Linked DNA regions of Oryzias latipes. The protein of the gene in region 2 purifies or fractionates together with the protein of the main gene of each other region. This does not show direct contact. Links are inferred from orthologs where the notes say so. Each region holds a gene or a part of one and is shown on either strand. Other genes may lie near its edges. The genes, in order: ankyrin repeat and SOCS box protein 1, rnf7 and asb6.

The links.
Region 1: the proteins of rnf7 (region 2) and ankyrin repeat and SOCS box protein 1 purify together in Homo sapiens (co-immunoprecipitation; 3 studies listed by BioGRID and IntAct, with this or other methods). This does not show direct contact. The link is inferred for Oryzias latipes from reciprocal best matches to the Homo sapiens genes RNF7 and ASB1.
Region 3: the proteins of rnf7 (region 2) and asb6 purify together in Homo sapiens (co-immunoprecipitation; 4 studies listed by BioGRID and IntAct, counting the BioPlex papers as one, with this or other methods). This does not show direct contact. The link is inferred for Oryzias latipes from reciprocal best matches to the Homo sapiens genes RNF7 and ASB6.

The regions. Positions count from the first base shown.
Region 1 is NC_019879.2:26,396,310-26,400,065, forward strand, and holds the start of ankyrin repeat and SOCS box protein 1, read right to left. Parts: upstream 2,863-3,756; 5' UTR 2,737-2,862; coding exon 2,646-2,736; intron 2,261-2,645; coding exon 2,122-2,260; intron 1-2,121. UniProt on the Homo sapiens protein: Probable substrate-recognition component of a SCF-like ECS (Elongin-Cullin-SOCS-box protein) E3 ligase complex which mediates the ubiquitination and subsequent proteasomal degradation of target proteins.
Region 2 is NC_019871.2:22,564,690-22,567,682, forward strand, and holds rnf7 (RING-box protein 2), read right to left. Parts: upstream 2,135-2,993; 5' UTR 2,077-2,134; coding exon 1,914-2,076; intron 1,790-1,913; coding exon 1,742-1,789; intron 1,011-1,741; coding exon 892-1,010; 3' UTR 621-891; downstream 1-620. UniProt on the Homo sapiens protein: Catalytic component of multiple cullin-5-RING E3 ubiquitin-protein ligase complexes (ECS complexes), which mediate the ubiquitination and subsequent proteasomal degradation of target proteins.
Region 3 is NC_019867.2:19,701,642-19,705,387, forward strand, and holds the start of asb6 (ankyrin repeat and SOCS box protein 6), read right to left. Parts: upstream 2,948-3,746; 5' UTR 2,829-2,947; intron 2,462-2,828; 5' UTR 2,428-2,461; coding exon 2,318-2,427; intron 2,190-2,317; coding exon 2,014-2,189; intron 834-2,013; coding exon 727-833; intron 646-726; coding exon 537-645; intron 449-536; coding exon 362-448; intron 256-361; coding exon 1-255. UniProt on the Homo sapiens protein: Probable substrate-recognition component of a SCF-like ECS (Elongin-Cullin-SOCS-box protein) E3 ubiquitin-protein ligase complex which mediates the ubiquitination and subsequent proteasomal degradation of target proteins.

The DNA.
Region 1 (3,756 bases), on a different chromosome or scaffold from region 2:
AGGAAAACTGTTCATATAAAAAAAAAACATTTTAGAAATTTGCAAAAAAATTCCAGAAAACAAAACATGACTAAAAAAGACCCCAAAAAATGTAAGCTAAATAAAGATGAAATATTTTAGAAAACTCAAGTTATTTCCAGATTTAAAAAATTAAATGTTAAACAATGACATTTTTTTTAAATTGTTTTCCTTTTTGAATTGTCTGAGATATTTCATACAGTGGGGGAAAACAGGTTTAGTAAGCCACTAATTGTGCAGGTTCTCCCACTTAAAAATAAATGAGAAGCCTGTAATTTTCCTCATAGGTAAAACTCAACTATGGGAGTCAAAATGAGAACAAAACAAATCCAGAAAATCACATTGTTTGATTTTTAGAATCAGAATCAGAAATACTTTATTGATCCCACACGTGGGAAATTTGTTTGTCACCATAGCAACTGACAGCAGAGGGGAAAAAAAAAAGACTAAGAATAATATAAAAAAAGAACAAAGAAAATGTAGCATAAATGCAAAAAACAAGGTAGTATAATTTAAAAAGCTATTTACAGAACAGTGCAGGTAAAAAGATGTGCAAAAGAAATGTGCAAAATAGAAAAAAATTAATAAATAGCTAATAAAAAAATGTGCAAAGGTTATCTTTTGCACAGTGAGTTGTTGTACAGGGTTATTGTATCGGGTAGGAAGGATTTCTGGTACCGGGCAGTTTTGGAGCGGAGCTGTCTGAGCCTCCTAGAGAAGGAGCTCCGCTGTTTGTCCAGAACAGGGTGGAGAGGATGCTCTGGGTTGTCCATGATTGAAAGGAGTCTGTTCCGTGACCTCCTCTCCATCACTGCTTCAAATGTTTCCTGTTTGCAGCCAATGACAGAACCCGCCTTCCTGATCAGCTTGTTCAGTCTGTTGGTGTCACTGACTGCAATGCTGCTTCCCCAGCAGACCACGGAGGAGAACAGGGTGCTGGCTACCACAGACTGGTGGAAGATCCCCAGCATCTTGCCGCACACATAAAATGACATGGAGGGCCACATCCCAAGCCTTGAGTTTGACACGTGTGCTTTACACGTATCAGTCGTCCTGGTCCTGTTGGTGACTAACAGCCCCAAAGCATGATGTTTCCACCCCCATGCTTTACAGTAGGTATGGTGTTCTTTGGATGACACTCAGCATTCTTTCTCCTTTCAACACGACGAGTAGAGTTCTTGCCAAAAGGTTCTATTTTGGTTATATCTGACCATAGGACATTCTCCAGATCCTCTTCTGGACCATCCAAATGCTCTCTAGCAAACTTTAGACGGGCCGGCACATGTACTGGCTTCAGCAGGGGGACACGTCTGGCACTGCAGGGTTTGAGTCTCTGGTGGCGTAGTGTGTTACTGATGGTAGCCTTTGTTACTTTGGTCCCAGCTCTTGGCAGGTCATTCACTAGGTCCCCCCGTGTGGTTCTGGGATTTTTGTTCACTGTTCTTGTGATCATTTGGACCCCATGGGGCGATATCTTGCGGGGAGCCCCAGGTGGAGGAAGATTGTCAGTGGTATTGCATGACTTCCTTTCCTAATAATTGATTTCTTCAGACCAAGCTGCTTACCTGTTACAGATTCTGTCTTCCAGCCTGGTGCAGATCAACAATTTAGTTTCTGGTGTCCTTAGACAGCTCTTTGGTCTCAGCCATAGTGGAGTTTGAGGCTGTGGACAGGTGTCTTTTGTATAGATAATGAGCTCAAACTGGTATTATTAATACAGGTAATGAGTGGAGGACAGAGGATCCTCTTCCAGAAGATGTTACAGGTCTGTGGGAGCCAGAAATCGTGCTTGTTTGTTGGTGACCAAAACCTTATTTTCCACCATAATACACAAATAAATTATTTTAAAAATTGACAATGGGATTTTTGAGATTTATTGATGTGATTTGAACTTTAGGCCCATTGTACATAATTCTAAAAAAGAACAAGAAGTTTTCTAGCATTCGTATATTTGGCTGAATCACCAACTGTAAAGCACAGTAGTGGGGATGTAATGATTTGGGCTTCTGTTTTTGTTTTTTAGAGTTTCCGATTGCAACTTTTTAATCTTTAATGAGTTGAATCAGCCACAGAGCTGCAGCCTTTCTTAAAGTTTGGTCTCACAGTCGGAAGCTGTCCTCCTGCAGCAGGTTCCTCAGGGTGTCCAGGTCTCCCACGTAGGCCGCGTTGTGGAGCCGCATGTCATCCTGCTCCAGAGGTTTGTCGCAGAACTGCTCCTGAAGCCATTCCTTCAGGTTGCGGCCTACAGAGCACACTTCCAAACATCAGTTTGAGTTTTCCTTATATATTTAAAACATGAAAGAGCCTAGGCTGCACGACATCTGTCAGTCAAATGTTTTGATCATTGGATGTTGGGGCCAGAAGGCACCGCCTAACTTAATGGAGGGATCTGATTGGTCGGTTTATGACTTGAATGCACTAAAGAAAAATTTAGGATTAGAAAGATTGGAACATGTTAAATAAAAAAATAGTTTATTTATAGAGACGCTGTTTATTTCTCTATAGACGTCTATGGGAATTTGCGGTACTTCTGGTTCAGTCAGAACATCTTATGCCGTCTGCATCAGGGTGACAGATGATGGACGGGTTGGTTGGTGGCGGCTCGCGGCTCGTGCAGACTTGCTCACCTGCAGGGGTGGATGTGGGCAGGTCGGACACGGTGATGAGCGGAAGGAACCGGATACTGGGCGGTTCGTCCGCGTCCGGACCGTCAGCCATGCTGCACGACTGAACGCAGAGGCGATCCCGACACACAGACGCAGGGACAGGCGGGGGTCCGGACCAGACAGGAGAGCATAAACAAGCAGGACGGAGTTGACGAAGGCGTCTGCGCAGATCACGGCGTCACTTCCGGGCTGGCTGTGCAGCTTAAAGTGCCAGCGCGGGTTTTAACCAAACCAACTACTGAAAAAAAGGGTTAGATTCACTAAAGATTTTAGAAATAAATAAGGGTGAAGTAAAATAAATAAATACAATTTAAAAAAAGCTATTTAACTCAATACATTTTTCAAAATTCACTGTTTCAAGTTGCTGCCATTGAAGGTCAAACTTTTGAATGGATTTCAGTTCAATTATTAGTCTGCATGGATGACTTATGTATTAAACTTTTAAGTTTGATGAGCTGGAATGTTTACAGTTTAAATAACCATAAATTTCCTCTAAGGGATCCTCCACATCGGTGACTGACCCTTCTCAGTGAAAGGGGTCGCTGCAATGGGATCTCCCGGGTCTGACTCTGACTCTTTTGATTGGATCTGGGGGGTCCTGTGGTAGTGTACTCCGTGAACTTGGGTGGGGGTCACTGATGTGGACATGTCCCCAAAATATCATTTCCCCACTTCAGGACAAAGCCAGGTCTCTACATTCTATCATTTCATCACTCTTTATATCATGGTGTGCGTGGGTGTGTGTGTGTGTGTGTGTGTGTGTGTGTGTGGGGGGGGGGGTTGTCGGCACTGTTTGTCTTGTCATCTTGTTTTTAAACTTTATTGTATTTTATGCACAGCACTTTGAGTGACGTGTTGTTGTAAAGGTGCTATATAAATAAAGGTTGATTTGATTTGATTTGAAATACCACCTTAAACAAACATAAATAACTCGTGAGACATTTTCTTCTGGGCTTTTAAAGTTAATTTGACAATTCTTTGAATGTACGTTTGTTTGTTTGTTTATTTTGGATGGCAGCAATTAACAGCTGCCAAAAAAATAAAAATAAAAATTAAAAATAGAGCACCCTGC
Region 2 (2,993 bases):
TACAACATCAAGGAACTGACAGAAATTTTGTTTTTTACATGTATAAAAATACAGCCAAATCATGTTGTAATGATATAGATATAATCAATTACGGTATGTCGGGTGTTTTGGTAAGTTTTATCTCACAACAATGTAATTTTAAGATGCAAAAAAATTGACATTAGTTCTTAGGGAAAAAAAAATTAGTGTTTAGGGGAAAATAAAATCACCTTATTTATCCACTCTCACATTTGACCCATGGGTAAATGTGACCACATTGGGTCAATGTGTTATAAAAAGTTAATTATCAAAGACTTGTGTGTTTTTTCAGTAGTCATTTAGAAAAGTGTAAAACAATAGATGAGTTATTCTCAGCATAAAATTTAGAAAATTAGCTAAACGTTTCCCGTCAAGTGTTTTTGAGATTTCATGGAAACAGCCATTTTGAAATCAGCAGGAAAAGTCATTCTACTGCCCCTAGTGGAATGATGATGAATTACAGGACAGAAAACATGGACCAATGGTTTTTAAAGAAAGTTTGGATCATGTTAATAATATTGGGGTCTCAGGAAGGCATGTATAAAATATGATGCAAATGGTTATATAGGATTAATGGAAACTATTCAAATGAAAACAGACCTGCAGCTTTCACAATTCTTTTATTTCTAAAATAAAAACCACTTCTTGTGCCAAACATCGCAACATACATCAAAGTTAATCTTAAATGTCAAACACTGTAAATTGTCATCCATCCCTCCATGAGGCTTCTAAAGGGGTAGAGCAGCTGATCTGTACGCGTTTTTGTTCCCCGCCCTCCTTTTACGCTGTGACTACAGGAAACATGCGATGGCGAGCAGGAAGACGGCACAGGAGAAGGCCGGGACGGCTCTGAAGAAAACACGGGCTCAGTCCTCATTTGCCGATTCTCTGCACCACCCAGTCTTGTTGGCAGAGGGGGCAACGGTTGTTCTGCTTCACCCAGAGGGACATGCAGCAGTTGTGGAAGGAGTGGTTGCACTCCCCCCAAACAACTGGAAGATGGAGGCAGACAAACAGGTTAAAAACTGAATGACAAACATGTTCAAAGACAATATATTGTATGAAACATGTACGTTTTCATTAGTACTCTTATTTTCACAAACACAGCAGGACTTCTGTGACAGATTATAGAGAAATCTTCACATGAAGAAGGGAAGAACATTAAAGTTCGTTTGATTGTGTCTCAAACTATTAAAGACCACCTCCAATGAAAATCACGTTTTTGGCGTTCTTATCATGTTCTTGTGATTTTTTTTGTTTTTTGATGATGGAGGACATGTATAACGAACGATTGCTTTATTCAAATTATTAAAAAACATGAACTTGAACATAAAAGTGGCAATTCATCTCTTTATTACAGGCTATTTGGTAAATTTAAAAAAATCACAAAACAGTTTTTTTGTTTTCAGTGTTTATTTTGTTGCCAATGTAAGAAAACTACAAAAACATTAAGAAAGCTGTCTATGGTTGGATGTTTTTAATGTATTACAATGTGTTTTGTAGTGTATGTGCCAAACTCTGGCATTCTCACTGTTATTGTTCTATGTTCTTTTGTTGTATTTTACATAAAATAATAATAATAACTTTTTTCTTTCAATATCGTGAAAGCTGCGCGCCTGAGCTTTTATTGTGGTGGGACGCAGGGTTGATGATAACGCTCTTTAGCATATCCGGTTAACCGATTGTGCTGTTGATGCAACTTTTAGAGCTCGGGGCGTCTTACCGACACAGTCTTCCTGTTTGTTCTCCGCCTGACATCGGAGGCACGCGTCTGTAAAAGTGTCAGAAATAAAGTTAAAGCACCAAGCAGCCTACATCCACCAAACACGTCCGTGTTAGCTAAGCTAGCACGGGTTAGCCGGGTATGCGTCCCAAGCTAGCTGTCAAACACTTACCCATTACTTGTACCCGACAAATCGCACACGTGTCGCATTCCACGTCCCAGCTCCACATGGCCACAGCGTTCCATTTCTTCAGGGAAAACATCTTGTCACTCCCCGTCTTGGATCCCGAAGAGGTGTGAGAAAGCACCAAACCCGGCTCGTCCCCGTCGTCCATCTCTGCAGCTCCCACGTTAGCTTAGCTAAACAAGCTGGATGCTTGTTCTCACAGCGACGGCAGAGGGCGCTGTTTCTCTATTTTTAGTAAAAAGAAGAAACCATCTTGAAGTTTGCACCTGTTTTATAGTGTATGCAATTTTTTTAAAATATGCTTCAAGACAATTTATTGTATTTTAGGAAATTATATAAAAACATCTAACATGCTTTATATTTCAATAAAAAATGTAATGTCTTAATTTTAAAAACTAATTTTGTCTTGAAACTGTAATCTGTAGCATATAAACTACTCATTATTAAGGAATGCTCCACTGAAGATATGGACAAAGAAAAATCTAAAATGTAATCAGTCAGGAAAGGTTTCATTAGCTATTTTATTAAATGACATTTTAACACACCAGCTTATGTAAAAAATATACATCATTTGTTATGTAAACATGCTTCATATAAAGATGAACATCTAATTTGTATGTTTATATAAAAAACAAGCCATTAATATAATTAACTACAGTGTAGTATTATAATTTAGGAAAAAACACAATATAAAGTTTTCTCTTTAATGCTGCTGTCTAACAACACCTTAATATTTATTACCTATTTAACATAAATTATAGTATACAAGACAATAAAAAAATAAAAATAAATGCTACCTCATTTCATCAGATGTATTTAAACACAACCAAACAAATTTCCAGCTATACACAGAAATTCTTTTATACAGATATCAAATTTACTATCATAAAATACTTTTTTTTTCTAGAATGACATCAATGCTTTGCTTTTGTCATTTTTGTTAAAGGAGTCCATTTCTCAGGATGGACGGTCAACAGTAAGTTCAGAGGAGCGTTGCTTCCTTCAAAGCCTTCCATTTCGAAGCTGCTTTGTCCTTAAACGTGTTTCTGTTTAGAGATCCACAAA
Region 3 (3,746 bases), on a different chromosome or scaffold from region 2:
GGATCAGGAGCACAGCCAGAGGAAAGAGCAGGTCAAACTGCTCCAAGCTTGTCTGGGTCAAGGAGGGCTCGCCATCCTCACTCAGACAGCTGCTGGGGTCCACGCCGTGAGCTAGCAGTAGCCGGGTGACTTTCAAGCAGAAGCCGCCAATCTCAGCAGCGTCCTCCACACTGGCATCCAGAGCCTCTTTGACCAGAAACACCAAAGATGATTCAACGGTTTCTCCATCGACTGTTGCAGCGCTAACATCAGAACCTTTAAGGAAAACGTTTTACAATCAATTCTAAAATACCACTGGCACAATTTGAACAGTTGAAGCAAGGAAGCAAGATGAAAAAGATCAGAATGATTTCCTTCTTACCCCTCTCAAGTAGCAGCTGTATGTTCTCGATGTTGTGCACAGTAAGTCCATCGCTGCTCGCTAATGCATGTAGCAGCGGCGTTTTCCCTTTCGATTTGAGAGGAAAGCAACCCTTTTTAGAATTAAAAGGGCACAGATGGATATTGTGGAATGACGTCGGCCGATTTAAACGCACCGTGCTTGTCTCTAGCGTTCACAGCAGCACCGAGGTCCAATAAGGTGAGCAGACAGGGCAGCCTCTCCGACTCCTCACTCGCTAAATCTAAGGGACTGCTCTCGTGAATCTGAAAAGGACATGCAGGATTGTATATTCCCATATCCAGAACAATTGAGAAATGTAGAAGAAAAATTGGTTAAGTTCTCACTCGGTCCCTCTTTTCGATGTCTGCTCCGTGTCCAGCAAGCAGCCTCACCATATTTGGCCGGTTCCTCAACACAGCTATGTGCAGTGGGTTGTAATAGGACACTGGGTCTTGAAAACAAAACAAAAAAAGTTCACATTCATTGATTACAGCGTTTCCTTGTTTACTGTGGGGTTACGTTCTAAAAATAACCCGCGATAGGTAAATCCGCGAAGTAGGATTCCAGATGTTTAACGGCTGTAAAACCCCTCCCTCACTACACACCGTATACATTTTCTCAGACAGACAGGAACATTTTTACTCTTTTCTCTTGTTTAAACTCACAAAATGAATCCAGTGTTATAGAATGAAAAGGTTCATATAAAACTGGCAAACTGCCCACATTCTGTACAGGAGACACAAGAAGGAGATTGACTGACACAAGGCCTTTAGCCAATCAGAACAGTGAACACAATGTCCTGGGGAGAAGAAAAAAAAAGAACAAAAAAAAGTTCAAAATTGCATTGAAAAAATGATTAATGTTTTCAAATGTTGTTAAATTGCTGTGGCAGTTAAAACATGAGAATATTAGATAACATTTCTGAAAACTGTGATCCAAAACCAAAAACAGAAATGAAATAAAAAAAATCCTACATCAACTGTAATAATATTTACTTTAAAACAGCTGTCAAGAAAACATAGTTTCAATTTAAATGCAAAAGAACAGCAAAAACATGATCCGTTTTGAAAACTAACTTACTGCAGCAACTTTATTCATGTTAAACATGAATGAAGCTGTTTCTGCAGGAATTCACTGAGTACATAGGAGAGGAAGTGTGCATCCAAAACCAGTAGAGGTCACCACAGCAGAGACTGACGACAGCTTTGATCAATCCAGTGACAAACACTCATCTTCTCACTGAAATGTCCAATTACTCAACGGCCTAGAGGTGGACTGTCAGCCCCTGAGGGCGGAGCTTAACACTCAGCATCACTGGGAGGGTCAAATGTCAAAAGGTTCCTGAGCGCAGCTAAGAATGTAGCTCACCGGTTCTTCAGGGGACAGGTTCAAAAGGAAGAACAAGCAACACGCACACACGTGTAGGTCAACTGGAGTTGCTTTCACTTAAATTAATACTAGTTTAATACTAATTTGCCAATTTTACAAAATGAATCATCATTAAAATTAGCCCAAAACTGGATTTACAAATGAATGAGATTTCTAACATGACATAAATGGAGGAAAATCATTTAGGCAATAATTACATGGATTTCCACTGGGGAGAAACGTGACCAAATCTGAATATTTACCTTCAAAATTGACATCAGCTCCATAGCGTAGGAGGATTTTGGCAGCATAAGCGAATCCCTGCTCTGCCACCTTAAAAAGTGCATAACTGATGCCTTCAACAAACATCTCTGACTGGGACTCCTGCTCCAGAAGCTCCACTAAAGAGCTGCATCTTCTGGGCTCATCATCGGGACTCCTAACAAGGCAAATAAGAAAGAAAAGGTCTCAATCAAACCTACAGGGCCTTTTTTTTCCCCTCATGATGAGGGAAAAATCAACCATCAATCATCGACCATCTGCTAAATATTGGTTTGGCAAACGTACCAGTTTTCGGGATGCCTGTTGTCTTCCTCCAAACCAATTACGCGCATGACAGCATCTACCAGTGGCTGATATTCATAGATGATTCTCCGAAATCCATGGAGAAAAGGCATGGCTCTTCCGGTCCGGTCTCAGACACGTCTGATTCTAACGCAGGAAAAACGTGTTAGAGACTTTCAAGGTAAGAAAAACGATATTTCGTTCATACAGCACTGTGTAGCCCTAAATTGTTGATATTACATTTTTTCTTCTACTGTTCTTTTTTTTCCAAATATCGTTACACACGATGTAGCCAATCAGAGTTAGCGGCAACTATGATCTATCTCGTTTTTTTTTTTTTTTCGTTTTAAAATTTAAGAGCAGAAACAGAACGTCGTGAGAGTCACGTATGGTTCTAGAACAAATCCTACAAATTACTGCACGATAGACAAAACTGAACATAAGATGAAGTGAGAAGAATTGCTTAGAAAAAAGAAAAACTTGTTCGAATCTTAGCAATTTCACAGCTACTCACAACAGAGTTCCCTCTTCACAACAGGAAGTTGGCCGGCGCTTGATTAATTCCCACTGAAACCACTAGACGCACAATAGTTCCTAGGAAACTGTCCGTTGGGAAAAAATGTGTTTGTGAGAAAAAGAAAAACTTTTTTTTAATGTAATGCCGTTCTTTTTTTTTTTTTTTTTTTTTTTTTTTTTTAATAAGAGTGAGCTAAATTGTACGACGGAGTATTAGGGCCACAAAAAAAAAAAAAAAAAAAAATAGAGCCACCAAAAAAAAAAAAAAAGTAAAATTACGAGATTTTATCTCGTAAATTTAGGAGATAAAAACTCGTAAATTTAGGAGATAAAAACTCGTAAATTTAGGAGAAAAAACTCGTAATTTTAGGAGATTACAGTGGAAGTGAGCATGCAGAGCAGCAGGTGAACGCCGTGCAGCCGCAGAGAAGACCGACTATACTTTGTTGAACAGGTGAGCTGAATGTTTATTGATAACGTTCCAAATGTCTGGAAGGTCATTTGTTTGATTTCCGATTCATTAAAGTTTTATTTATTGATGGTTGGTTTGCAGGATCTCTGCAGCCCGATGAAGCCGTCGTCGGTGTCCCTGCAGCTGTTTGCTTGAATCCTTTCTTCCTCCACCAAAGACAAGACTCTACGTCTGTGTGACGCTTCCGTCACACAAAAGGAGGAGCACTTTTTTTGGCATTTTCAACGTTCCAAAGCCAATATAAAACACTATTTTCATTCCTCTTTATTGTTTTATGCTGAAACGGGACATTTCATCTGCAGGAGGGGGCGTTTGTAAGACTGTTTACTTCCGCATTGGTGTTGGGATGACAGGTTCATGACGTAATGAGACAAATGAACTTCAGGATATGGGAATGAAAAGGAGAATAAAGGCTGCAGCGATTGTCTACACCCAAACGTGTCT